Anolis sagrei: one gene and its partners. The protein of the gene in region 2 interacts with the protein of the main gene of each other region in a pairwise test. Links are inferred from orthologs where the notes say so. Each region holds a gene or a part of one and is shown on either strand. Other genes may lie near its edges. The genes, in order: ARMC7, CPSF7, CLK2 and NCK2.

Region 1 (7,779 bases), on a different chromosome or scaffold from region 2:
TCCCCTTACAACCTCCCTTTTCTCAGTTCTACCTCTCGCTAATATAGTTTCTTTCCTAAAATTTGTGATTAGGTATACTGATACAATTGGCATTTTTTAATGAATCTCAGTATTTGGGATTATGTACATATAGCCCTTATTAAACTATTTTATTTAAACCTTTAAGCAGGCACTATAATTTTCTAGTGTGTTAAAATGTGAAAGAGAGAAAAAAAAGGTTCACACTAAACCAGTAGGCCTCCAGATGTTTTGGACTTCAGCTCCCAGTTCCTAACAGCTGGTATGAATTTCTGGGAGCTGAAGTCCAAAACATCTGGAGGCCCAACAGTTGGGAACCACTGCACTAAACTGTAATAAAACACTGCTTCATTTGATTGCTTTACCCTCAAGCTATTAATTTGTCCATGACTTTTTTCACTTAATACATTATAGTACCAAGTTTAATCAATTCTAAGGCATTGATTGTAAGCCGCATACTAATTTCAAGGTATGATACTAAGAAAAAAGAATTTTCATAAAAGTATCTTCTAGAATTTCTACAAATTAATTCTAAGAACAAAATAAAACCCTAAAATATATCTAACAAATATTTTTATTACTCCAATAGAATTAAATTTACGAACAACAATAGGGAAACAGATTAAACATAAACAATGCACACAAAATGAAGAAGGTATGGTATTTTATTCATCTCTTGCTTCTGAATCTGTATTTGAATCTGATTCATCAGAGTCTGATTCCTCTGACCCGTCTTTAGCATAATTATTCCATTATATATTGTCTTCTGACCCATCAAGAGCATTTGTGATGCAACATTTTTTAATGAGTCCAGCACTATTCTTTTGGGATTTGCTTTCAAGCTGTTGATACCCATTCTGCCAGTTTTATTGCTGGTGCTCTCTTAATTTTTCCAGAAGGTGTCAGAGGAAGTCTGTCAGTCATCAGCCAGGATTCGTATTCCTTTCTCAAATTATCCTTAAATGGTTTGTGGACTGAAATGTTGAGTGGCTGCAGTTGGATATTCATGCCATTAGGAATCACAATTAACTCACCACCCTTTTGCCTGGTTTTGTTTTTGACCTGGTTGGACAAATGTCCATGAAATGCATCAAGTATTTGAATGCTAGGTGGGTTATGAAGATTTCCAGGACGCCTCTCCCACACAACACTTAGCTGGTCTTTCATAAGCTCTGCTGTCACCCATCTATTTCTCTTGAACATACAATAACATCTTTGGGGAAAATCTTCTTTGTATGTTTTTCTGATTTAAAATTAAGTATGGTGGCAACTTTCTACCATTGGCAGTGATACACAGCATCACAGTGATACGCTGCTTTTCATAGCCAGGACTTGTAGTGTGGATATCTTTAGCACCTTCCGCATTGATGGTGTAATTTTGAGGGATATCAAAGAAGACTGGAGTTTCATCAGCATTTCCAATTTGACTGAACTCATATTTTCTTTGTTTCCTTAATTCAATCACATATTGCTGAAAGTTGATCAGCTTCTGTTGAAAGTCTGCAGGATTCTTTTGACAGACAGATGTTCATCAAGGGTAACTCGCTACGACAAGCGAGTCTCTCACACCAGCCCTGGCGGTCTTTAAAGATTCTGTCATCTAGTCTGAGGGACTTGAGAATTTCTATGGCTTTCAATTGCATGGTTTGTCAAGTGATTGGTAATCCTTTTGTGCTTGTCTGCTGTACAAAATGTATCACAGCTTCATCAAATTGTGGAAACCTTCCTTTTTTAGGTCCTATAAAGCACTTAGTTGATACTTTGCCCAAAAATATGGAATTGCGAGCATTTCTCCTGAGACAAACATTTACCTCACTTATATAAAAATGTTGACCTGTAGCTCTATTTCCATGCTTTTCTGCATATTCAATAACTTTTTGTTTGAATGTGGCTTCGTAGTGCAATCTTTTTGACATTTTGATGTGCAATAAGGGATCACAACAAGTGAAACACAGATCTGGGAACTTAACTTTTTACGTAGGTGGTTTTGGAGATAAAATCAAAACTTGTTCGATAATAGTGGCTGCATACTTATGAAGAGTGCTACTTTGTTCAAAATGGGCTTGTGAAAGCATTATCTGTGAAATTTGGACATGCCTTTCTGCCTAAGGTGGGTTGCCTGCCTAAAAATAAAATGTGTGCTCCATCAACAAAGTGCAGTAAAAGTATTTTTTATAAACGTGATTTTAAGATGCACCTGCGATGATAAGATGCATGATTTTGAAGACCACTATATGGAAAAAAAATTCACCTTACAATCAATGAAATACAGTAATTCATTTGTGTTACCAATTGGGTTTCAAACAGTGATTAAAAATACATGTACAAGAATCAGAATTTCTTGATTCTGAAACTCAAAGCAGTGAGTACACTAACATGTCTGTCCTTCTGTCTCTATTAATGAAGAAAAACACAATCAGCCCTTCATATGAATTACGTAGAATAGCGAACACTTGACAACCTGTAATCGGTATTTTGAGTCCCGCTCCAGAATTCATGTCCTTCCAGACAAATCACTTTCTCCAAGAAAATATCTTCTTCATTAGGATGTGACCTGCTGAACTGTACAAGCAATGAAGGCCAAAGCTCCTAGGTACCAGGAGTAATGAGAAAAGCCACCCACTCTGTCTAGGCAGCTCTCCTTTAGGGGCAAAGGCTGGCTAGGATGCACTTCTCTTCTTTGGCAGCTCAGCCAGTTGTTGCTGGCGCCTCTGCAGCACCTCCTGGCGCTTCTCCTCATAATACTGGAACTCCTGGGAACGAAGCTCCTCTATCTCAGGGAAAAAACTCCGTCTGTAAAAAACAGGCACACAGAGAGAGTTTGGTTAAAGAAACTAAGCACCCAGGGGCCTATTCCGCTCAAACGGAAACTCTTCTGAATTCATCACTATTCACCGCCATACTGCTATACGAGCACCAATAACGCTTAGCACTGAAGAGCTGAGAATGCTGGTTAACTGAGGGCCCATCCACACAGCCCTATAACCTAGCATATCAAGACAGAAAATCCCACAATATTTGCTTTGAATTGGGTTATCTGAGTCCACACTGCCATATAACCCAGTCCAAAGTGGATAATGTAGGATTTTATACAGCTGTGTGGAAGGAGCCTGAGTCCCTACTGTATTATTAGTATTGCTGCTGCACAAACTCTCTCCCTCATACGAAATGCTTCTGCTCTATAAAGGAGCCTTGAGGCACAGCTTTGAAATACAATGGGCCCTCAGGATGTCAAAAAGACATGAAAGTTCACATTCTATTATTCACAATTAAATTTACCTGGGAATTTTCAGATACTGTTTATATTTAATCCTGTTGTAATGCGTGTATATTTGTACTATTTTTTGAGCCCCTGGTGGCGCAGTGGGTTAAACCGCTGAGCTGCTGAACTTGCTGGCTGAAAGGTCGCCAGTTTGAATCCAAGGAGCGGGGTGAGCTCCCACTGTTACCCCAACTTCTACCAACCTAGCAGTTCAAAAACATGCAAATGTAAGTAGATCAATAGGTACCACTGGCACAAAGGTAACCCCGCTTCATTCAGTCATGCCAGCCACATGACCTTGGAGGTGTCTACGGACAACGCCAGCTCTTCAGCTTAGAAATGGAGATGAGCACCACCCCTCGGGGTTGGACACGATTAGATTTAATGTCAGGGGAAATTTTTACCTTTTATTTGTATATTTTAAATTTTAAATGGTTATGCTAATGCTTTTATATTAAGCCGCTTTGAGACCTCTTTGCAGGAGATAAAGCAGGAAATAATAATAATAATAATGTGCAATAAAATAGTGTCCCTTATGTAAAATCAAGGGTTGCTCTTCTCTTCTTTTTCATCTTTTAAAGATATTGTCAAACTGTGAGTGGTTGGATTCATGGACACAGAATCCGGTGGCACATTAATGAGCAACCCATTTAATGTCACACAAAGCCTGGCACAGGATTTCTGGTATGCTGGAGGTGGATGAAGTTGTACAACATGGGTGCCTCAAGGCCAGGACTGGGCAAACTTGGGCCCTCCCTCCAGGTGTTTTGGACTTCAACTCCCACCATTACAAACAGCCTCAAGCCCATTCCTTTTCTCCCTCTGCCGCTTAAGCTAAAAGGAAGGAAAGAAAAAGGAAGGGCCCTGAGGCCATTAGGAATTGTGGGCGTTGAAGTCCAAAACACCTGGAGGGAGGGCCCAAGTTTGCCCAGGCCTGCTCTACGGTCTACGCTGTAGAATGAACGCAGTTTGACACCACTTGAACTGCCATGGCTCAATGCTATGGGGTCCTGGGATGTGTAGTTTGGAAAAGCACCATCCCTCCTGGGCAGTGAAGGGTGAAGACCTTGTAAAACTACAACTCCCATGATTATCTCGCCATTGCAGTACATGTGGGATCACTACATTAGATGCAGGCAGTGCGTGGGGCGACTATAAGGAGAGGCCTGGCCCGGGCCGCACTGCTGCAACGGGACATGGCCGCCCCAGGGGTTTTGCTTGAACCCGGCAGCAGCCCGCCCGTCCGCGTCTCCGCACCTGAACACGAAGGCGGTGGCCAGGGCACACAGGATGCTCCCGAACAACAACGGCTTGGGCAGGCCCTTCTTCGCCATGGCCGAGAGCAAGCTGGTCGCGAAGGGTAAACAGAATCCGCTCCGCCCTTTACGGCCCTCGGAGGCTTCCGTAGCCGACCCTCTCAAGGCGGGAAGGAACGGGATTGCTTTTGCCCTTACAGAAGCCTTTCCGCCCGTTGTCAAACGTCACTTCCTGCTTCTGCTTCATGCTTTCCTCCCTCTCCTTTTCGGCTCTTGTTAGGCATCAAGGAAACCGAAGGGGATGCTGTCGCTTTCCTTGGCTGGTAAGTGAACTCAAAAACAATCCTTCTTCCTATGGTACATGATCCAGTGGTTCTCAACCAGTGGGTCCCCAGATGTTTTGGCCTTCAACTCCCAGAAACCCTAACAGCTGGTAAACTGGCTGGGATTTCTGGGAGTTGTAGGCCAAAACACCTGGGGACACACAGGCTGAGAACCACTTAGTTCTTAGGATAAGTTAAAATACTGTATGTATTCTCGGGTCAGGCTGTATTGTTTGGGTTCTTTGCATGTCATATCCTTTGATGAAGAAGGAAAGGAGAGGAATGGAGAATGCGATAAAACGTGCCCTGGTGGTGTTTTTTCTCAAATTTCATTCAATATTTTGTTTCCCATTGCTAAGTTTGAAATGTTATTTTTCTTGAACATGTTGTTTTAAATATATTTATTTGCCACATTTATATACCGCCTTTCTCAGCCCAGAGGCAACTCAGGGCGGTTCACAACTGGCAACAATTTGATGCCTCAACAATTATAACAATTAAAACAACAATAAAATAATGTTAAAAACATTTAGCATAAAATATAGGAATATTTTTAAAAACCGTACAAAGCCTTAAGAAACCTTAATAAAGCCTTAGGGATTTATAGGCGTTAATCTATAAATCCCTAAACGACTCCTGCCCCGTTTACCTGTCTGAACGTATTCTCCCCTATGAACCATCAAGATTGTTAAGATCTTCTGGAGGGGCCCAGCTCTTGGTCCCACCAGTCTCACAAGCGCGCCTGGTAGGGACAAGTGACAGGGCCTTCTCGGTGGTGGCCCCTCGGCTCTGGAACCCCCCCCCCCACTGGAGATTAGAACTGCCCCTTCTCTCCTGACTTTTAGAAAACAGGTGAAAACCTGGCTCTGGAAACTGGCATTTGAGTCAATAACTCATGGCTATATGGATGGATGGTGATGAACAACAATTTTATTGTGACAACTTGGCCATTGTAATTATATGATTGTATTTTGGTATTTTAATGTGTTAGTGTGATGTTTTTAAACGATTGCTTGTGATATTATTGTCGGAAACCGGCCTGAGTCCCTCCACAGAGGTGAGAAGACCGGTATACAAAAGTTCTAAATAAATAAATAAATATTAACAGTACTAGAAAGTTTTCTCTAACAAAGGATAAAAATGTAAAAATGTATATAGAATCAATAAAGCTGAAGTAACACTTCAGTGTAAGTAAATCTGAATAACTGCTGCTTCTAATAATAATAATAATAATAATAATAATATTCTTTGAGTGTACCAGGACTGTGACACAGCTGGCTGGAAGTCATCTGCATTGAGATCACTACTGACCAAAAGGTCATGAGTTCGAAGCCAGCCCGGGTCAGAGTGAGCTCCCGACCAATTTGTGTAGCTTGCTGTCAACCTTTGCAGCTTGAAAGAGTTGCATTTTTCAAGTAGGAAATTTAGGTACCGCTTATGCGGAGAGGCTAATTTACAATGCCATATACATCCCCAGCAAGCATGCAAAGAATGAGAAAGTACTTCATCAGTGTCACAAATGGATGGTGAAGCAACAGCTCCCCTGGTTGCCAGAATACCCTCATAAAGCTGAAAGGTTAAATGGCCTCTGTGTCTGTCTATATATGTTGTGTGTCTATGGCATTGAATGTTTGCTGTGTATATGTACATTGTAATCCGCCTTGAGTCCCCTGCGGGGTGAGAAGGGTGGAATATAAATACTGTAAATAAATTAAATAAATAAATAAAATTGTCTTCTCCATCAGCACTATGTCTGAAAAACAGAAGGACTTGCTAGGCCTGGATCGACTGGAATACCTGCAAGCATTGGTCACCGAGTTCCAAGTGTCAGAAAGTTCTGGTGAGGAGAACCTACTCATCTCTTCCTCTTTGGCTCTGGGTTTCTGAATGCCTTGCTCCTCTCCATCGATTGTTTCCTCATCTTAAGGCATGCATTTTTTTTTTATTATATTGCAGAAGCCAAGGAGCAAGTGCTGGCCAATCTAGCTAACTTTGCTTATGACCCCAAGAATTATGTATACCTCCGGCAACTGAAGGTTCTGGACCTCTTCCTGGATATGCTCACTGAGGACAATGAAACCCTTGTGGAATTTGCACTTGGTAAAGTGTGGGTTTAAACTAATCCTTGCTGGAAATGAGCCACAATTTATAAACTCCTAGCCCACAGGAAACTCACCTCTGCCCTTGGAATCAGATTCCCTAATTGATTTAGCAATAGATAGAGGTGCCATAAAGTCAGCCAGGGACTCAGGACAGAAGGCTGAGTTCAGAAAGGTTAAATAATTCCACTTGAAGCTATTTTTACCTGTTTGAAAACATGTCAGCATGGCTATAGGGCAGTAGTTACGATTGTAGGCAGGGAAGTTTTATTATACAGGGTGTTTCAAAATGTCAAAGTAATATAGTTCATGTTGGCAACATGGTACAATGACATAAAAAGTTACCAACGGGTTGATGAGTTATCAAGTTTTACTAACCATTTTTAGCCAGAAACAAATTTAAAACTCTAACTCATTTAGTGGAGAATATCTCAGTGGTTCCCAAACTTTTTTTTGACCAGGAACCACTTTGATCAGGGACCACACTCCAACATTAGTACTAAAAGGGTTATGAATCAGTTTTTGGTCAACTTTAGATTTGGTTTGGTTCTAGTTTCTGATACAGAACATATGCCATCCAGTAGTCGCTATCTGCTTGCCCAAAAAAAATCCATATTTAATAAGCCTCGGTACTATTAAGAGGGTTTTGCGAGACCAGTCGCTCCCATTTCAACGGTGTGGTAATGGTGAGACAGTAAACCATATTTTAGTTCTTGCGTGCCACTGGTGATCCACGGACCACAGGTTGGGAACCACTGCATTAGATCTTACATCGCAAGCTCACCATCTTGCGAATGAATGAGGCTAGGAGCTGTTTTTGG
Region 2 (7,755 bases):
TCAACCCACTCTCCCCAGATTCGAACCACTGATTTGTCGGCTAGTAGTCCTGCCGGCACAAGGATTTAACCCATTGCCCCACCAGGGGCTCCTCATTAACACTAACTATAGTTACCAAACTTTCTTATGGATGATTAGGAGGAACTACCACTAAATAAGATGGGTCTTGCTTACACATTTTTGTAAAACTAAATCCAAACTCTGTTAGGTTTCAGTAGTATATCTACTCAAATCAATAGGTCAAATTCATCATCACTAACTTCAGTTCCCATTAATTTAAGTTAATCTGCTTGAAGTCTGAAGACATCTGAAGCCACCCTTGAATGCTGAGAATTTACAACAATTAAAAGAGTGAATTTACTGACAATCAGCACTGAAAATAATACCAAAGATCTTAAAGGGCACGATCAATTGGATAACATATGTATGTCCCCCAACCTCCAAAACATGTTAACAGATAAGAAATAGAGACAAAAGTATTGTATGTACTGACAGCTACAACTGAAAAATAATACTTCATGAGACAGGAAATTTCACAAAAATCTAATGATCAGAAAAGGCACCATTCCACCTTACCTGTTGCCCAGTAGTAGATATCCCAGTCATTGCTGGGCTCATTAATCAGACGATCATAAAGATCCAGCTGTTTCTCACTCATTTGATTCAGATTCTCTTTAGCAAAAAGACTGGGGAACACAATAAGACACAAAGTAAATGAAATTGCTAAACATATGCCTACAGCCAGGAAACTGATCAAACTATAGACAAACAATATACCAAATAAAGACAAATCTCTACATTCTCATATGCCATTAAGAACCAAATTTGCAAAGAGATAGTAAAATGGACAACATTTTGTGGAGACATGCTGAAGTCAAAGAAGAGAATCGGAATATTTTGTATAGCAGGCACAACAGGTAAAAACAGAATTTGCTGCACAAAAAAGAGGACTGATACGAAATTAAGACAATACTGGCTGTATTTTCAGAGATTTTGCTTGAGAAGAACAAGGTCATTTCTGTGAAAATTGCCAAGTATTTTCAGCAGTAAAGTGCTCCTCATTACTGCTTCTTAAAGTGAGGGACCCGAACCTAAACGAAGTCTCCTTAGCTCACTGTGGGGTCCTGAAAAAATTGGTAAGAGTACACATTTTGAACATCACCTGATGGCTGTTTTAGACATTTTCATGAAGGTATTTGTGCAGTTTTTACAGTGGACTCTGCAGAAGATGCTTCAGCTGTTCTTTATAAAAAGAAAAATCATCCTGTTTAGCAAGCCTTGAAAATGCTGATTTGTTATTAGTGTTTGATTTTATGCTTATTTTATATACCTATATACCCAGGGTCACATAAAAATTTCTCAGGCCGAAAGCGGTCACTAATGGAAAAGTTTAAGAAGTTTTGGGTTACAGACAGGACTAGACTATAATGTTATTTTTTTTTTTAAAAAAAAAGTTTTAACATAAAGCATTAGTACAAATTTGTTAACATATTTGTTGCCCAGTAATTAATTAATATTGAATTGTTTGTATATTACTTTATTTATACCCTGCTTTTTCTCTCAAAGGTATGAATTTTATAGGACTTTCTTCAGCAAGGAATATTCAGAGGTGGTTTTGCCAGTTTCCTCCCTTTGAAATCTAGCCCACAGACTCCCATTGCTGGACTTGTGAGTTTGTTGGCACACTAACCAGTCTGATTCAGTTTAGCTTTTAAGATCAGATTGGTTATTTAGTGTGAATATCTAATGCTCTTTGAAAATGTAAGGGTGGTGAGTTACTTTATTAAAATAACTAAGCTCCGCTGATTATATTCATTTTCTCACCTTCCCACAAACATAATTCTAGGTTTTGAGGGAAATCAAGAGAAATCAATTTTAAAAAGCAGGGAGAGCAAAAGAAGGTGCAGCAAAGGGTTTTATTGCAAATTGGGGGGGGGGGGGTGAGCAAACGTTTGTGTGGGGGGGGGTTTATTTATTTTTGTGTTAGGAGTCACTTGAGAAACTGCAAGTCGCTTCTGGTGTGAGAAAATTGGTAATCTGCAAGGACGTTGCTCGGGGACACACAGATGTTTTACCATCCTATGGGAGGCTTCTCTCATGTCCTCACATGAGAAGCTGGAGCTGACAGATGGGAGCTCACCCCACTCCCCAGATTAGAACTTCCGACCTTTTGGTGAGCAGTCTTGCCGGCACAAAGGTTTAACCCACTGCGTCACAGAAAGAACCATAGAAACTGAGCCTCTTTATAATCTTTTGTCATTTCTGGTGCATGTCAGGAGGGCTATGAAGATGCATCTCCACTCGAAGAAGGATAGATTTCTCCAATAATCTGGTGCTGCTGCTCCCACTGGGGATAAATGAACTCCTTGGCACACTGTATTCATATGGTTCAAAGGCAGGAATCGGGGGATGTGGGGAAGGACAATGAGAACTGGGGAACAGAAGGATGCCCGGTAAGGTAGGTCTTGATGGTAGTTTACCTTAGAAGTCGTTCACATCGTCATTGGTCAATGTCAACTTGAAGATAGTTAACAACCAGTGCATCTACACTACAGTATTCATGCAGTGCAACACCATGGCTCAATGCTATGGAATCATGGGAGTTGGAGTCTTGCAAAGTCTAGAGCAGGCATGGCCAAGCTTCGGCCCTCCGGGTGTTTTGGACTTCAACTCCCACAATTCCTAACAGCCTACCGGGAGTTGAAGTCCAAAACACCCGGAAGGCCAAAGTTTGCCCATGCCTGCTCTAGACTTTGCATAACTACAACTCCCATGATTCCGGCTGTTAGGAATTGTGGGAGTTGAAGTCCAAAACACCCGGAGTGCCAAAGTTTGCCCATGCCTGCTCTAGAGTCTTTTCTGCCAAAGAGTACTGGTGCTTCACCAAACTACAGATCCCAAGATTCAGTACCATTGAGCCTGGGCAGCTCGCGCGGGACCAATCTGCGTTAATTCCACCACGTGGGGGCTCCCACCTGAGGAGGAGGCAGTTCTCCAGCATGCCCCTCTTGCGGCTCTCGTAGAGGAGCCGGGCCCGCTTGGTGCTGAGATCCTCCTGGGGTCGGGCCTGCCAGGGTGGCAGCGGGATCTCCAGCATGTCCCGCCCGGAGTCCGAGGGCGCGTCCCCACGGTAGCCACATCTCGGGGCGCAAAGGAGAAGGCGGCGATCCCGGAGAAAGAGGGAGACCCGCTGCAAGGAAGGGAGAACTCTACGTGAATGCCCGGTAGCTGCCGCTCACCCCACACAATTATTTATTTGGGTTGTTGTAGGTTTTTTCGGGCTATATGGCCATGTTCTAGAGGCATTCTCTCCTGACGTTTCGCCTGCATCTATGGCAAGCATCCTCAGAGGTAGTGGGGATGCTTGCCATAGATGCAGGTGAAAGGTCAGGAGAGAATGCCTCTAGAACATGGCCACATAGCCCGAAAATCCTACAACAATCCAGTGATTCCAGCCATGAAAGCCTTCGACAATACAATTATTTATTTGTTTATTTACAGTATTTGTATACCGCTTTTCTCACCCTGACAGGGACTCAAAGCGGTTTACGCATAAGTAATGGCAAAAATTCAATGTCAGTACAAACAATTACAATGATATACTACAACTAGCTGTCCCCTGCCACGCGTTGCTGTGGCCTAGTCTGTTGATCTGGAAAATAAAGTAATGAGAAAGTGTTGGTTTCCAATATATGTAATTTATTTCTGCTTGTGGGTAAACAGTATTTTTTGTTGTTTCTTTGCCAGTGTTGATGTGGAGATTGTCTGGTTTGCCTACTCTGGAACATGCAACATATCACTGTCCTTCTTTAGGGGTCCCTTTCAAATCTATGATACTATATCTGTGTGTGTGTGTGTGTGTGTGTGTGTGAATCATATATATTTATCTATATCTATGGCTGGATGGCTCTTTGTCAGGAGGACTTTGATTATGTTTTCTTGCCCTGATGAAGGGAGTTGGATTGGATGGCCTTAAGTATTTTCTGTTGGTCTTGGGGGTTCTGTGTGGGAAGTTTGCCCCAATTCTGTCGTTGGTGGGGTTCAGGATGCTCTTTGATTGTAGGGGAAGTATAAACTACAACTCACAAATGTCAAGGTCTATTTTCCCCAAACTCCATCTGTGTTCATGTCTGGGCATATGGAATATTTGTGCCAAGTTTGGTCCAGATCCATCATTGTTTGAGTCCACAGTGCTCTCTGGATGTAGGTGAACTACAACTTCCAAACTCAAAAAAACAAAAAACCAATGAACGAAATGTCAATGGCCACCAAATCCTTCTGGTGTTTTGTGCTGGTCATGGGAGACCTGTGTGCCACGTTTGGTTCAATTCCATCATTGGTGGAGATTGTAAGTAAACTATAAATCCCAGCAACTCCAACTCCCAAATGACAAAATCATAAATTTTTGAGTGATGGTCACTCCTTGTGTTGTGAGACGTTTTGTTGCCAAATTTGGTGTGATTTCGTTCATTGGTTCTTTTGTTTTTAAGGAACTCATTATGCACAGAGCATTTATATATATATAGATTAGACATTAATCAAATTAAAAAAAATACATCCATGAGCAATCAAACAATAAAACACCGGGCTTGGTCCAGCTTACTCACCCGAACTGACAGCGCCGCCATCTTGGCGCCTTCCCCGGCCGCTCTAGCCCTCCCTCTTGAGCATAAAGAGAGGCGAGCGCAGCCGGAAAGCCGACAGTGGTGATGGGGTTGCGCGCGCCGGGCCGGAAGAGGCGGGCCTTCCTGGAAGGAAGGGAGGGCGGAAGGGGCGGGGCGGCGGCGGCAGCAGGAGGCGCTCACGGAGAGAGGGAGCCAGAGTGAGGTTCGCGCACACGGCCGCTTGCGTCTCGGGCCTGCTGGGGATCCTGGGCCTTGCGTAACGGGCGCGGCGGCGGCGGCGGCGGTGAAGGAGGAGGAGGCGCAGGAGGCGGCCGCGCGGGAGGGGATGAGGTGCCGGCTCCGAGGGGTCGGAGGCGGCGGCGGTGGGAGGTTTCCCTGGGAGCGCGGGAAAAAAAGGAGGCCATGACTGGAGGGAGCGGGAGTGCGCGCGCAGCTATGGCGGCCTCGGCGGCGGCGGCTTGCAAGTGGGAGTAGCGGCGGGAGGAGGAGGAGGAGGAAGGGGGCCTGCTCGGCCTCTTCGCCCCTCCATTCCCTTCCCGCGCCCCCGCTTCCTTCCCCTCCGGGCCGCGCGGCTGAGCGGAGGGGGCGGGGCCGGCGCTGGGCCCTCAGCCTCCCGGGCCCGCCTTCCTCCCGGAATCGTTGTCCGACGGTGGCCGGGGAACTTCATGAGACCCAAGGGCCATCCAATCCAGCCTCCTCCTGCCACACAATTAAAGCACCCCCAACAGATAGCCACCCAGCCTCTACATATGCCTCCACCACACCCTGCGGCGGCAGCGTATTCCACTTTTACCGTCAGGAAGTTGTTCATAATGTTTAGGTGGAGTTAATTTCCCCGCAAGTTGAGTCCATTGCTCCCTTGCGTCCTGGTCTCCAGGGCAGCAGAAAACAAACTTGGTTCCTCCTCAGTGTGACATCCATTCAAATATTTGAACATGACTATTTGTCTCCTCTCAACCTTCTTTTCTCCAAGCTAAAGATACCCAATTCCTTCGGCTGCTCCTCATTGGTCTTGGCTTCCAAACCATTGATCATTGAACATGACCATACATCCCGAAAAACTTACAGCAACCTATTGATCATTTTAGTTTCCCTTCTCTGGATGCATTTTAGCATCTTGGTATCTTCCTTGAATTGTGATGCCCAGAATTGGAGACATCATTCCAGGCGAGATCTGACCAAAGCAGAATAGGTTCTGGCCCAGCTTACTTGTCCGAACGCATCTCCCTCTACATCCCGCCTCACAGTTTAAGATCATCCAGGGAGGACCTGCTCTTGCCCCTGCCAGCATGGCAAATACGGCAGGGACAAGAGACAGGGCCTTCTCGGCTGTGGCCCCCCACCTGTGGAACTCACTTCCCACCGAAGTTTCATCCCTCCTGTCTTTCAGGGTTGTGGTTCTGGGACCAGGCTTTTGGACAACAGACATAGATAGCAGTTTAATATGGAATTTGACTGGAATGACTATATGGCTGTTAATACTGTTTTTATTGTTTTTATGAATGTTCTATTTATTGTTTTTAATTGTTATTATATTGCTTTGTTATATGTAGTGGCATCGAATTGCTGCCAAATGTAAGCCGTCCTGAGCCCCCCTTCAGGGGTTGAGAAGGAACGAGGTAGAAATACTGGAAATAAATAAATAGAGTGGGACTATGCATTTGGTAGAGGTGGTGATGTGTGTTCCTCTTAGTCCTCGATCTCCAGCTGTGGTTCTCAACCTGTGGGTTCCCAGATGGTTTGCTCTACAACTCCCAGAAAACCCAGCCAGTTTACAAACTCTTCAGATTTCTGGGAGTTGAAGACCAAAACATTTGCGGTCCAACAGGTTGAGAACCACTGATCTAGATACGATGATCCTATTGATGCTGCCTAGAATTGTGTTGGCCTTTTGAGCACTAACTCTCCTCCTCTTCTCCCCTGCACAGTGTGCAGCTCTGCCTCCCCTGTTCTCCTCAGAGGCGCTCCTGAAAATATGTCGGAAGGAGTGGACCTCATAGATATCTACGCCGACGAGGAGTTCAACCAGGTGAGCCCCTGCCAAATGGGAGCGAGGGAGAGAAGGAAGGAAAGAAAGAAGGAAAATTTGCCATATTCAGAATCAACTGAAATTTCAAACAATACTGAGGACTTGTCTACAATAATCATTTAATGCAGTTCAAAGCTACCTTCAAACTTTAGTGATCAGACAACAAAAACCCACAAAACTTCATGAAAGAAAGCCCTTAATGTTCATCTGTGCTAATTGCCATTTGGACCTCAAACTGGTTTCATGAGTTCCTATTTAACCACGTTTCTCAATACAAATTTGAAACTGCATTAAATGATATTTGTAGATTCGCCCCAAGATTGGCTACATTTGCCTAAGAGCATAAAAATAGTTAATTGGTTCTTGGGAGAGTTCGAGCTTGATTTATCCTGGGACCCAGTGATTTATCTTTTTCATAGTCCTTGGCATCAATAGAAGACTTCTCAAGCACCACATTTCAAAAGAGTTGGTTTTCTTACACAGTGGATTTGATGCTCAGGAGGGGTTTCTCCTACTGTTAATGTAGAGTGAGTGAACTGTAAATGGTATGTTATGTCAACTTGTAATAAATGTTTTGATTTTGTTACTTGTGGTGAATCTTTTTAATGTAACAATGGGACTGAAGATATCCCTTACTTCTCAGTCAAAGGGAAGACTGCAGGTTTTTTTAGATGTGGGTTGAGAAGAAAGTGAAACTGGTTCAGTTTGTATTTGGGTATGAAGCTTCATAAATGGATTTGAAGGCTTGTTCTATGATGACAGCAGGCCAGCTTTCACATGAGTTTTTATTTGTATAGAGCAGTGGTTCTCAACCTGTGGGTCCTCAGATGTTTTGGCCTTCAACTCCCAGAAATCCTACCGACTGGTAAACTGGCTGGGATTTGGAGGCCAAAACATCTGGGGACCGCACAGGTTGAGAACCACTGATCTAGAGTAAAGTTGGGCTGTAGCCTGTCCTGTCAATAGTACCACGCTGACAAAGTGACAGAACTACAACACCACTCTGTTTTCTTTTACAGCATTTAGCTTTCATGCCTTAGAGTAGCAGGTAAGAGTACCACAATGCAAATTTGGCTTTCTACTTCAATGCTTGTTCATATC
Region 3 (7,001 bases), on a different chromosome or scaffold from region 2:
CGATGTCGGCGCTCGCTGCTGCTTGACCGAGAGCGGCTCCGCCTCCGCTTGTGCTTGCGGCTTCTGTAACGTTCGTAGTAGCTTCCCCGGCTGCTGCGTTCCGACGAGCGGAACCTTCTGGAATGAGGCATCTGCAAATATGGAGACGAGTCTAAGTTCACAGGCATACACTTTCAAACTCAAAGTGGCCATTATTTTTTTTATTTATTTACGGCATTTATGTGCCTCCCTTCTCACCCCGAAGGGGACTCAGAGCGGCTTACAAGATATGTTTTCATACAATATATTATATTATTAGCATAGTACAATATCAGTATTAGATATTACTATATTGCACTATACCAGTGGTCCTCAACCTTCCTAATGCCGCGACCCCTTAATAGAATTACTCATGTCGTGGTGATCCCCAACCATAACATTATTTTCATTGCTATTTCATAACTGTCATTTTGCTACTGCTTTGAATTGTAATGTAAATATCAGATATGCAGGATGTATTTTCATTCGCTGGACTAAATTTGGCACAAATATCCGATACTCCCAAATTTGAATACTGGTGGATTTTTGGGGTGTTGATTTTGTCATTTGGGAGTTGTAGTTGCTGGGATTTGTAGTTCACCTACAATCAAAGAGTATTCTGAACTCCACCAACAATGGAATTGAACCAAACTTGGCACACAGAAGTCCCATGACCAATGGAAAATACTGGAAGGGGGACAACGGCCACTAGAATTGTCTTTGCGAAATTCTGGAAGCAGAAAGAATTACCAGACAAACTCCACTGGATAAAGAAGCTGAAGGAAATTAAGGACATGGATACATCAACTTTTTTATTAAAAAAGAATACAGGTAATCCACCCAAACAGACAGATTGGTCAATAATTGACTACCATATCGAAACTAGATATAAGAACTCATAATTGTGCTGAAGATATAATGAAGAGATAAATTGGAACATATATAAGATATGAACTAAAAGAAGTGACTATACGGGCAGAATTGGAAGGAAGTCCAATTTTTGTTTTTGTGATTTTTTCTCTTTTTTCTTTTCTCTTTGATTTTCGGTTTTGGGATTTGTGTGACTTTGTTAGTTTAGTCTTATGGTTCCTAAAATTTCCTACTTTTCTATCCTCTTGAATTATTCCCCCTCTTTTGCTGTATTTTAGAAAACTCAATAAAATATTATTTTTTAAAAAAAAGAAAATACTGGAAGGGTTTGCTGGGCATCGACCTTGAGTTTTGGAGTTGTAGTTCACCTACATCCAGAGAGCACTGTGGACTCAAAAAATGATGGATCTGGACCAAACTTGACACAAAAATTCCATATGCCCAAAGGTGAACACTGGTGGAGTTTGGGTAAAATAGACCTTGACTTTTGAGAGTTCCCCCAGGCACTGCCAGGCCATCAAATGCTAATCAAGGTGGTCAGTTGAAACATTCACTCCTAGCTCCAGCAGACAAGAGTCCTTTGTCCCGCCCTGGTCATTCCACAGATATATAAACCCGTTTTCCTACTTCCAACAGACCTCACTACCTCTGAGGATGCTTGCCATAGATGCAGGCGAAATGTCAGGAGAAAATGCCTCTAGAACATGGCCATACAACCCATTACAATAATGCATTAATTGGTTACCTGCCTTTCCTAAGGGTTCAACAAGTCTCTATACTGACCACATAACGCAGATTCAAACAATATTATATGGCAGTGTAGATGGGGCCTACATCTGTCTTCCAAAAGGCCTGGTTAGGTTACTCATCTCCATTTGCAAGTGTATTTTCCCTGATTTTCCATAGTGCTCTCTGGATGTAGGTGAACTACAACTCCAAAATTCAAGGCCAATGCCAAACCCTTTTCTGTTGGTCATGGGTATTTTGTGTGGAAAGTATGTCCCAATTCTCTCTCTGGTGGAGTTCAGACTGCTCTTTGATTGTAGGTGAACTATAAATCCCAGCAACCCTAACCCCAAAATCTACCCCCCCCCCCCCAATCCAACCAGTATTCAAATGTGGGCGTATCGGGCATGTGTGTCAAATTTGGTCCAGTGAATGAAAATACATTCTGCGTATGAGATGTTTACACTATGATTCATTACAGTAGCAAAATTATAGTTATGAAGTAGCAATGTAAATAATGTTATGGTTGGGCATCACCTCAATATGAGGAACTGTATCAAGGGGTCACAGCATTAAGAAGGTTGAGAACCACTGACATAAGGTATGGGACAATTTCAACAGAAAGGAGGAAACCACGAAAATGAGCAAAATCTGGCTGCCAGTATGAAAAAACTCTAAAATTACAACAGCTAAACAACAGAGAGGAAACAATCTGGGACAGCTAATCACCTCTCAACAAAAGATTCCCCCAGGCACTGCCAAGCCATCAAATGCTAATCAAGGTGCTCAGTTGAAACATTCACACTTAGCTCCAACAGACAAGAGTCCTTTGTCCCACCCTGGTCATTCCACAGATATATAAACCCATTTTCCTAGTTCCAACAGACCTCACTACCTCTGAGGATGCTTGCCATAGATGCAGGCGAAACGTCAGGAGAAAATGCCTCTAGAACATGGCCATATAGCCCGAAAAAACCTACAACGACCCATTATAATAATGCATTAATTGGTTCCCTGCCTTTCCTAACCATATAACTGACCATATAACGCAGATTCAAACAATATTATATGGCAGTGTAGATGGGGCCTACACCTCCTGTCTTCCAAAAGGCCTGGTTAGGTTACTCATCTCCATTTGCAAGTTAATTTCCCCAGATTAGATCTCTACTATAGTTCTTTTGCACCCAAGCACAGAGGAGACTACCACTTAGATGCCACCAATGAAAAGAAGCCAAGAGGCATGGGAAGGGGGGGATGGGCCCAACTCCAGGGGGTCCCCTCTTCTCCGCCGCGCATGCGCACTCCCGCACCCTCTTGGCCGCCAGCCCTGTCCGCTTGTCCCACAAGAAGTCCGTCTTGGCGGCGGCTGCAGTGGCGGCCACGGCGGCCACGTCTCCTCCGCTCCTCTCCGGCCTCCTCCTCCGCCACCGTAGCCTTTCTTTTGCTCCCCCTCCTCAAACCCAGAGACGGCTGCTCTGAAGGAGCGGGTGGGGGGGAATGGAAGGACAAAGCGCATGCGCAGCAAACGCTCACGTACGGGGCGAACGACGCCACGTAGGGGCCGGCGTAAGAATGCGCCGTGACGTCACGGGAGAAGGCGGAGCGAGCGGTGAAGATAGGAGGGTATTGGGCTTGTGGACATAGAGCGATGCAAAGCTGACTAAACGCCTGTCCGAACTTGCGGGACTATTTCTAACTTTCTCTCAAAGGCTACATATTCTGCAGCTTCAAATATGTTAAGCCAGACATGGACTGCAACTACAAAATACCTGGAGAGCTAGAGTTTGCCCATGTCTATGTCAGGCATATATTTTATTTATTTACTTACTTACTTTATTTATATACAATAGCAAAATTCAGTGCTCAACTTCATAAAAATACCAGGAAAACCAACACTCTGATTAAAAACTCCTCAATAAACATACGACAACAGCTATGTAAATCGGAAGCCCATCCACCCAGGCTTTATGGACTCCCAAAAATCCATAAGGACTCCACCCCACTCAGACCCATCGTGAGTGCCATTGGATCCCCCACATACGACCTAGCAAAATTTCTTGCGGCACAGTTACAAAGCCATATTGGGCTCACTACACACTACATCAAGGACTCAGCCCACTTCATAGAAAGAAAAAAAATCAGCAATCTCAAGCTAAATACCAAGGACAAACTGATCAGCTTCGACGTGGTATCTCTATTCACCATGGTCCCGGTAGCAGACACCATGGCACTCATCAACCAGAGGTTCCCAGAAGACATCACGGCTCTGTTTCACCATTGCCTCACCACCAGTTACTTTCAGTGGGACAATGAATTCTACGAACAGAAAGATGGAGTAGCTATGGGGAGCCCTCTCAGCCCGGTCATAGCTAACTTCTACATGGAACACTTTGAAAAACAAGCCCTGGAGACAGCAACCAAAAAGCCCACGATATGGTTCAGATATGTGGATGACACCTTCACCATTTGGAGCCATGGAGGAGAAGAACTCAACAGGTTCCTGGACCATCTTAACAGCATCCATCCTAACATCCAGTTCACCATGGAAAAGGAAAATGAAGGAAGACTGCCTTTTCTAGATGTCCTAGTTATCCGCAAACCAGATCAACAATTGGGTCACACCGTCTACAGAAAACCCACACACACAGATAGATATCTAGATAAAAACTCCAACCATCACCCAAGTCAAAAAAGAAGCACCATTATTTATTATTTATTTATTTATTTGATGCATTTGTTAACCGCCATTCTCAGCCCTTTAGGGCGACTCATGGCGGTGTACAACACATATAAAAAGGCAATTTACAAAAAGGCAATTACAACAACATCTTAACAATATAACAATTACAAAGTTACACTAAATAATCCGCTTCGTCTCATAGTAGAATCATAACCAATCTCATATTCCTTGTTCCATTCCAGTCATCTTTACCACATTGTTATAGCACTTAATTAAATGCCTTCTCGAACAGCCAGGTCTTAAGGCTTTTTCGGAAGGACATAAGGGAGGGCGCCTGTCTGATGCCTGCAGGGAGAGTGTTCCACAGCCGGGGGGCCACCACCGAGAAGGCCCTCTCTCTCGTCCCCGCCAGACGTGCCTGTGAGGCAGGCGGGATAGAGAGAAGGGCCTCCCCAGACGATCTCAAGGTCCTCGTGGGCTCGTAGGCCAAGATGGGTCCGAAAGGTATTTTGGGCCGGAGCCGTTTAGGGCTTTGTAGGCCAAAACCAGCACCTTAAATTGGGTCCGGTAGCAAATCGGCAGCCAGTGGAGCTTCATTAAAGCCTTGGCAGACCGTGCAAAAAGAATCTGCGAAGCCCACCTTCTCCTCCAAGATGAACTGAACCACCTCAACTGGGCTCTCCAGGCCAATGGAGACTCCACCTCAGACATCAGAAGAGCTGCAAGACAACTGAGAAGAAGCCACAAGAGTCAAGACGAAGATCCACCCAGAGGAAAAGTGTTCCTGCCATACATCAAGGGAACCACTGACCGCATAGGGAAGCTGATGAGGAAACACAACATACAAACAATCTACAAACCCACCAAGAAAATCCAACAAATGCTACGTTCAGCAAAGGACAAGAGGGATCCTCTCACCTCTGCAGGAGTCTACCGTACACCATGCAGCTGTGGACAAGTCTACAGAGGGACCACCAAACGCAGCATTGCCCAGACACGAATCAAGGAACGTGAAAGGCATGACAGACTACTTCAACCAGAGAAGTCAGCCATAGCAGAGCACCTGATGAACCAGCCTGGACACAGCATATTATTTGAGAACACAGAAATGCTGGACCACACCAACAACCACCATGTCAGACTACACAGAGAAGCCATTGAAATCCACAAGCATGTGGACAATTTCAACAGAAAGGAAGAGACCATGAAAATGAACAAAATCTGGCTACCAGTATTAAAAAAAACTCTAAAATTACAACAGCAAAACAACAGAGAGGAAACAACCAGGCACAGATTAACACCTCCCAGCAAGAGATTTTCCCAGGCTCAGGCAGGCCTTCAAATGCTAATGAAGGTAATCAGCTGAAACATTCACACTTAACTGCAGCAGGGAAGAGCTCCTTGCCCCACCCCGGCCATTCCACAGATATATAAACCCATTGTCCTAATTCCAACAGACCTCACTACCTCTGAGGATGCTTGCCATAGATGCAGGCGAAACGTCAGGAGAAATGCCTCTAGAACATGGCTCTATAGCCCGAAAAAACCCACAAGAACCTAGTGATTCCAGCCATGAAAGCCTTCGACAATTCATAAAAATAGTTTAAAAACACTTTAAAAAATGACATAATAAACAATCAATTAAACATAACTATAACATCTCATTAGCGTCTCATAGGTAGAATCAAGATCCAATCTCATAATCCATTGTTCCATATTCCTATATTCAATACACTATTCAAATGCCTGCTTGAATAACCAGGTCTTCACTTTCCTCCGAAATGCTAATAGGGAGGGGGGCCAATCTAATTTCTGTAGGAAGGGTGTTCCACAGCTGAGGGGCCACCACTGAGAAGGCCCTGTCTCTCATACTTGTGACGCAGGCAGGACCGAGAGCAGGGCCTCCCCAGATGATCATAACACCCTAGCTGGTTCATAGGAGGGGATGCGTTCGGACAGGTAAGTTGTATTTTAGATTATTTTTAATGTTAATGTTTATCTTTTCTTGATATTTTTATGCCTTCAGATACCCAAGAATAGGTAAAGGTAAAGGTTTTCTTTGACAGTGTGGATCATAATAAATTGTAGAAAGTTCTTGGTGGTATACAGCCTCCTTAGTAGCAGGTGGGAAGGAGTGATAGAGTTGAACATCATTTGCATACAGGTGACATTACACCCCAAAACAAAACAAAATGTATCCAAATTGTCTGGTGATTATGTGGAAAAGTGAATAGTGGTAGTTAAAGAGCACATTCTCAGGATTATTTTTGAGTTTGATTTATTAAAATATTCCCATCCAAACTCAGGTAACAAAGGGTTGTTGTAGGTTTTTTCGGGCTAACAAAGCTGGAGGCATTACTTTTCATTCAACCCTCATCTTTATTTACTGGTGTGATCATTTCATTTCCATCCTACTTTTCTCCCCAAATGAAATTCGAGGCAGCTTTGGACCATGTTCCCACCACCATTTCCATCCTTGAGATGGGGTCTACACTGTTAAATAAATATACTTATTTTCCATACTTTTGGGGGTAAGTCCTTCGAGAACTATTCACCAAGAGGGCCAGCAGATGGAGCTTGCCTCCCAATATTATGACAGTCTTTCAAATGAGTTCTTTCTTATGGCGGCTCTTAGAGACATTGGTGACTACTCTCATCTTCAGAAAACTTGTACATCATTGGCAGAAATGTATCCAATTGTCTGGTG
Region 4 (6,833 bases), on a different chromosome or scaffold from region 2:
GGTTATGAAGGGGATATACTCTTCAGTGCTGCAGTATTTATTCACATTAGCCCTTCCACGATCCAGGAAAACAATCAGCATCCACTCATGTGAGTATATATATGTGTATGTTTGCCTATGTATGTAGATGCTGTAATCCGCTCAAAGTTCCCTAGGGGAGAAGGGTGGAATATAAATAAAGTGTATTATTTTTTTTTATTATTATTTCCCCAAAATCACTGCTTTAAAAAAAAATCCCTCTCCGTGATGGACACAGGCACAGTGGAAAGAAGAGAAACAGATCTACTTTGGTAATGTTCATTTCATGAAATGGTTCAGGGGCCCAATTACATATCTTTCAAAGTCAAGTCTGTGGTATTCCTTTCTCCTCACTTCAACTTCTAGCAAAGGTCCAGAACCCATATTGAAAAGGAATAATGATATGAAGTACTAAACAAGTCCAAAAAAGGGTTCTAAACAAAGGAAGCCTCAACTCTCCCCAGAAGACAACAAAGACTGTCATACTTTGGCCGTATCATGAGAAAACATGATTCAATAGAAAAGAAAAACAATGCTTAGTAAGGTAGAAGGCACTAGTAAAAGAGGATGACCTTATTTCAGAAAGATGGACTCAACCAGGAAGTGCCAGTTCTGAACCTGCAAAACCTGAGCAGGGCTATTGATATTGGAGGTATCTCACTCATGGGTTGCCTTAATTCAAAGTGAACTTGATGGCAGCTAAAAACAAAAAAAAAATATCATAAGAGGAAGGTGAGTCCAGGAAGCCTGATGTGCAGCAAGGGATGTGTCTGATGTCACTATTCTTGTGTTTAAATGGTAGAGAAAGCAGCCCACATGATACTAAAATGATGCCACCATTCTCCTGGAAACTGGGATTTGAACATGCAGCAATGTACATCATTAGAGAGAGAGGAAACTGCCAGCACTGAAAATCCCTGCCTCCCTCAGTATCTTAGAAGGTTCCACAACCCTCAATCACCCTGTATCAGAAAGAAAAGATTTCAGGTGTGGATGCAGTGGGCAGGTACATCATACAGGTGGGCTGGTCAAGAAGTCCCGATTGGCTGCACCTTCCTGCAGAGCACACCTGGGCTCACCTCTGCATCAAATTGGAAATGGTTCGAGGTGAGAAACTAACAAAGAACACAGATTTCAGGGAAGTAAGGAGATCCAGGGGGATACTCTGGACACAAAGTTAACACATGGAAGAGAAGAGTGGTTAATGTTTTCTGCCCCCTAAAATTTCTAACTTAAGTCACAATAATTCTCATTCACCCAGAGAAAGAGATCAGATCTGATTATAAAAACAGGAGGTGCTTTTCTGCCCAAGATAATAGCAACACGCATCATTTACAGAGCGCTTTAGAACAACCACCAGGAAAGATAGGTCAGGGATGGTATTTCACAGATGTAAGAAAACAACAAGGGAGGAGCATGGCCCTCTTTAGACACGGATCCTGCTGAGATGCCTCCCTTCCCCACCCTGATACAATCCAGCAGCTGTCTGGCCAAGGGGGAAAAAAATAAAAACATGTAATAACCCAGGATCATGTGCCAGTGCTGCTCCATCTTTCCTCCAAACCCCAAAGGGGGGCAAGGTTGGATGGGGTGGGTGGGCACAGCCTTCCAGTCCTCCCTCCGGATGGCTCCCACTCACGCCCCCAAAACCCTCCTCCTTGCCACTTCCCCCACCAAAAAAACCCCTCCCTCCACAATGGAGCCCAGAAATACGGACTTCAGTCCCCTTCCCTGTACACACAAACAGGAAATCTCCACAGCTGAAGGGGCCCTGGGGGGAAAGACCAAAGCCTTTGGCCCCTTCCTGCTTTCTTCCCCGAGGGGACCAAACCCCTTGGCCACCCACTTCGGTTGGGGAAATTTCCAGGATTAGGGGAAGAGACCAGGATCCCTTTGGAACAGTTCTCTCCCTTTTATCATTTCTGTAAAGAAAAAAAGCAGCAGCAACAACAACAAACCCCTTCCTTCCCTCCTCTTTTTCCTTCCCTTTCCTTCCTTCCATCCTTTCCCTTCATCCATTCTTCCACTCCTTCCTTCCTTCCCTTCATTTCCCTCTTCAGCCTTCCTTCTTTCCTTCATTTCCCTTCTTTACTTTCCCTTCCCCCTTCCTTTCCTTCCCTCCTCTCCTTCCCTTCCTTCTCTTCCTTTCCCTCCCAACTCCTTTCTTGGGAGGAAAGAGGCAGCCAGCCCTCTGAAACAATAGTTTCCCTCTCACGCTCCAGAAATGGAAGGGAAAAAGGGGGGTTAAAATGGAGTGGGGAGAGAATCGGTAAAGAAAACGTGGGGGTGATCTATAACAAAAGGGGGGGATCTCCTGATTTAGGTTTTTCGAGAAAGGGGGGGGGCGGGTTGTTCCTCCCTGGGAAAAGAAGCCAAAGCTTGGAGTGTTGGGAGAGGGAAGGGCGGCTCTTTCCTGCCTGCCTGCCTGCCTGGCTCTTCCACCCGGGCGCGCTGGCTAGGCCAGGCCCGGGACGAGAGGGCGCCTTCCTTTCTTTCTTCTTTCCCTCCTGCCTGCGTGCCTTGCTTCCCCCTCGGCAACTCCACAAGTTGGCGGCCCCCTTCCTCTCCCCTTGGCGTTTCTTTCCTACCTGGGACGCGGGCTGTCCTCTCTGTGGGCTCCCTAGGAAGAAGGAGGAGGAGAATGGCAGGAGGGGGGGCCGAGGGAGGAGAGGAGGCTGCCCTCCCTCGCTGGCTCTTTTGTCTCCGCGGCGTCGGCGGAGGGAGAGAGAGGGAGAGAGAGGGGGGTCTCCTCCTCCGCCTCCCTTCGCTTCTCCTTCCTCCTCCTCTCCGTCGCTCGGCGCGCCTAAGGCCCAACGGCAGCTCCCTCCGCCTCAGCCCCGCGGCAACGGCTCCGGCCCCTCCCCTTCCACCCAGGCGGCAGTCAGGGCCCTCCTTCCTTCCTTCCCTCCCTCCCTTCCTGCCGCTCGGGGAAGGCGGCGACGGGAGGCCCAGGATCGCCAGCCTCCTCCTCCTCCTCCTCGGCTTCCCTCAGAAAGTGGGAGGGAAAGGCGGGGCCCAGCCCTCTCCTCCTCCTCCTCCTCCCCAATGGAGGAAGGGACAGGGCCGGCCTTCACTTGGGGCACGCCTACACTCCCTCCCTCCTTAGTGTGACGAGGAGGTTCCCGGCCTGAGGTGGCACCAGCCCCCGGCCCGCTTTGGTGGCCTGACGTGGGACATCTCGAGTAGGCGCCCCTCTTCTCTCCAAGTTTCAGACTATTCCATCTGAACATGAGGAAGAACTTCCTGAGAGCCGTTCAGCAGTGGAACTCTCTGCCCCGGAGGGAGTGTGGTGGAGGCTCCTTCTATGGAAGCTTTTAAGCAGAGACTGGGTGGCCCTCTGCCAGGGGTGCTTTGAATGCAATATTCCTGCTTCTTGGCAGAATGGGGTTGGACTGGGTGGCCCATGAGGTCTCTTCCAACTCTAGGATTCTATGATTCTAGGAAGGCAGCAACTCTTTTTCGACTAGTGTTGTCGAAGGCTTTCATGGTTCAAAATCACTGTAAGTTTTCCGGGCTGTGTGGCCACATTCCAGAAGCATTCTCTCCTGACGTTTCGCCCACATCTATGGCAAGCATCCTCAGAGGTTGTGAGGCCTTTTCCCGGCTGTTTTTGTGCGCTCAAAGAACGCTTCTTTTCAGGCTTCGGACAGGGAACGCTCGCGAGGCTTAGGCCGCATCGGCAACATAGAAGGAATGCAGCTTAACGTGGACTCAGTGCCAAGAGAGATCTAGTTTTACGGGGCGCCCCTCCTCTTCGGTAAAGAGCGCGTAGGACTACAGCTGCCAGGATCCCACAGCTTTGAGGCATTGGGCTTCTAAGGGGTTCCAACCCGCAATAGTTCTACAGTGTAGATGCAACTTTTTAAAGATCACTGTTTTTTGGGTATTGCCAGGTGAATCTCCTCCTTGGCAGGGCGAAAGGGCTTCGCGGGGGGCTTCACCTCGGATGCCCGGTCCAGGCTAGGGTGGAGTGGCCCTCCTTTGTTTCTCCCTCCCCCCCTCCCCTCCCCCCGGCTAAAAATAGAACCCGTCTCCCGTTCCCAGAAGGGCCACCCGAGAGGAAAGGGAACTTTCAGGAACGCGTCAGGGGCTCCGAGGAAGCCGATTGGGTGGCCGCCGTGACGTCCCAGGTGGAAGTACCGCCTTCCCGAAGCCGCCCATCAGGGAGGAAGAAAAGCCCGAACAGGAGGATGCGTCTCTCCTGTGCCCAAGAGTGGATGCTGCCTTCTGGCACCACTCTAAATGCCATGGCTCAACGCTGTGGAGTGCTGGGAGTTATAGTTGTACAGGTCTTAAGCCCTCTCTGACAAAGAGTGCTGGTTCCTCACCAAACTACAACTCCTAGGATTGCATAGCATTCAGCCATGGTCATGAAAGTGGTGCCAAAATGTGGTTTGTTTGTTTACTCTATTAGTATACCACCTTTCTCACCCCTGGGGGAACTCAAAGCGGTTTACAACATACTAATGGCAAATATTCAATGCCATTTCCCCCAGCTGCAGTTTCAGTAATGTATCTTATAAAAACCTTTGCTTCTTTTTGTATCGTGATAGTTTTGTTTTGTTTTGAATACTTTTTTTCAGAATAAAATAAATTAAGGTTTTATTATTGTAAATACGCAAACAGATAAATAACACACCTGCTCTTCAGCTTAGAAATGGAGAAAAGCACCACCCCCCAGAGTCAGATTTGACTAGACTTAATGTCAAGGGGAAACCTTTACTTTACCTTAACAGTGTGTAACAGTACAAGTTGTATCTAGAAGTTTTTTGGTTTTGGAATATCTGTCCCTGTAAAGGATGTTCAACTTGTATTTGGGTGGTTTGGTTCAATTTTTTTACCTATTAGGTTTTCACTTCTATTTATTTAATAAAGAATTGAAAGTGTACATATCAATAAACTAATATTAATGCAATTATAGACACTAGTAATGAACAATATTGTAAAAGAAATGTGGAACAGAAATACGGAACAGCAATATTGTGAAAGAAATATGGAATATGCAGTCCTGTCCTCCCTAACACGTTGGAGCACTGAAAAAAAAATACTCTAGTGTTTTGTTTTGTTTTGTTTTTGACACTACAGAAGGCTATAGTATCAGGCACAAAATTGCATCGCTGAATACTCTGCTAGACTTTCTCCTCTTGTTTCCAGTTGTCAGTTCCTTCACTTCATGCAACTGATAGAGTAGATAAAAATCTATGAAATCTTACACTACCAACTTCTTTCTTTCAGTGAATCTCAAAGGTGCTACAAGATCCATTTGCCCTGTAATTGTGCCACAAAGTTGGTCCTAGTCAAAAATCTGGACTAAATATTCTGAAAAATAAAAGACATTTGGGATATTATTCATAAAACATCAAGAGTAAAATTTGCTCCCAAACTAGAGTTTATATATGAACTTGATAAACGTATTTCAATTAGCGTAAAATTAACCAGAATATATATTTTGATTAAACAAATCAGGGATGAGTTAGGGTTCCACAGAATGTAGTTGTCTTCAACAGGGTTCCATGACTGAAAAGGTATGGGGATTGCTGGGAACCATCCACACTGCAGAATTATAACAGATTGATGCTAGTTTAACTGTCATGAATCCATCTTGTAAACTCTGGGATTTGTAGTTTGTTGTGGCATCAGAGCTTTCAATCAGAGGTAAATATCACACAAAACTACGCATCCCAAAATGACATAGCATGGCAGTTCAAGTTGTCACACGGCTATAATTCTGCAGTGTAAACACAGCCATGGCCATGTTAGTCTGGACTAATATTTCCCCAATTTAGGTCCTCCATCTTTTTTTGGACTTCACCTCCCTAAAGCCCCAGCCAGCTTGGCCAAAAGTCAGGAATTCTGGAAGCAAAGGTCTAAAGATAATGGAGGACTAAGTCTGGGAAGCGCTCATCTGGATGATCCCTGGTTAAGCATTGGGGGCCAATTCATCATTGGATTTTGGAGCATTTTGTATTTCTGGATAAAGAATGCTTGGCCTGTATTATGTGAGCAAGGATTTACAAGGAGCACATTTGCATGCATTGAGCACTACAGCCAGGAACTATTTTTTTCCTATTGTGATGTGCAATGGCTGGTGGAAGGATCCTGCCCATTCCGATAAGTAAGGCTGTCTCACTGGTTCCATACTGGTTTTTCTCACTCCCTTCATTACCAGAGCTTTGGGCAGGATGAGAGAGAGAGAGATTGAGGGAACAGGTAGATGGAGGAACATTAAATACATAACCAAAAAAATAGAAGAGAAGAACAATTGGGAAATCTGGGGAAGCTAAGGTAAACCATAGCTCAAATTTTCAAAGCTAACCAAGGAACTTGTGAAGCTGACCTGAATCTCCTTTGGCCACCTTCAGCATTCTTCATGCCTTTGAAGATCTGCGCAGTGAGTTATTTTGACACAAGGCACAGCCATGGCTATTTGGGTCCATTGAGATAGAAGGGGTGTCCAGTTCTCCCTTTGCTTTGTTATGTCCTTTCTTTTAAAATATTTATTATTTTAACAACAGATTTAAGCTGAAATCAAAAGTTGTTGTTAGAAAATTTTATTTGATGGTGCCAAGATTCATGGGGACCCCAGAGATTAGCATGCAGCCACCTCCGCTATAAATTTTTATTGTTATTTTGCATGACATCCATCAGTATTTCTAAAAAGCAAATGAGAAAGAAAATAAGCAAAACCACATCAAAAGAAAGAAACAAAAAAACGTTCTCAGCTTTGAATTATGTCCTGAATTATGTCCTGTTTGAATTTAAAATCTTCTCTGCAGTTAACATGCTGGTTCGGTTAGAATAGGAAGCGCTGCCTT

What was found.
Region 1: the proteins of CPSF7 (region 2) and ARMC7 interact in binary tests that used the Homo sapiens proteins (3 or more experiments, as listed by UniProt). The two-hybrid records come from large-scale screens. The link is inferred for Anolis sagrei from reciprocal best matches to the Homo sapiens genes CPSF7 and ARMC7.
Region 3: the proteins of CPSF7 (region 2) and CLK2 interact in binary tests that used the Homo sapiens proteins (3 or more experiments, as listed by UniProt). The link is inferred for Anolis sagrei from reciprocal best matches to the Homo sapiens genes CPSF7 and CLK2.
Region 4: the proteins of CPSF7 (region 2) and NCK2 interact in binary tests that used the Homo sapiens proteins (3 or more experiments, as listed by UniProt). The two-hybrid records come from large-scale screens. The link is inferred for Anolis sagrei from reciprocal best matches to the Homo sapiens genes CPSF7 and NCK2.

Annotation. Positions count from the first base shown.
Region 1 is NC_090022.1:117,198,295-117,206,073, forward strand, and holds the start of ARMC7 (armadillo repeat-containing protein 7), read left to right. Parts: upstream 1-4,757; 5' UTR 4,758-4,859; intron 4,860-6,604; 5' UTR 6,605-6,608; coding exon 6,609-6,699; intron 6,700-6,815; coding exon 6,816-6,959; intron 6,960-7,779. UniProt on the Homo sapiens protein: As a component of the minor spliceosome, involved in the splicing of U12-type introns in pre-mRNAs.
Region 2 is NC_090021.1:236,184,308-236,192,062, reverse strand, and holds the start of CPSF7 (cleavage and polyadenylation specificity factor subunit 7), read left to right. Parts: upstream 1-4,749; 5' UTR 4,750-4,827; intron 4,828-4,836; exon of another isoform or gene 4,837-4,955; intron 4,956-6,553; 5' UTR 6,554-6,600; coding exon 6,601-6,654; intron 6,655-7,673; exon of another isoform or gene 7,674-7,702; intron 7,703-7,710; exon of another isoform or gene 7,711-7,755. Other genes in the region: SDHAF2 (succinate dehydrogenase assembly factor 2, mitochondrial), read right to left, coding at 577-686, 2,976-3,190, 4,608-4,628.
Region 3 is NC_090032.1:7,780,369-7,787,369, forward strand, and holds the start of CLK2 (dual specificity protein kinase CLK2), read right to left. Parts: upstream 3,021-7,001; 5' UTR 2,925-3,020; intron 132-2,924; coding exon 1-131. UniProt on the Homo sapiens protein: Dual specificity kinase acting on both serine/threonine and tyrosine-containing substrates. Phosphorylates serine- and arginine-rich (SR) proteins of the spliceosomal complex.
Region 4 is NC_090023.1:106,057,082-106,063,914, reverse strand, and holds the start of NCK2 (cytoplasmic protein NCK2), read right to left. Parts: upstream 3,015-6,833; 5' UTR 2,607-3,014; intron 1-2,606. UniProt on the Homo sapiens protein: Adapter protein which associates with tyrosine-phosphorylated growth factor receptors or their cellular substrates. Maintains low levels of EIF2S1 phosphorylation by promoting its dephosphorylation by PP1.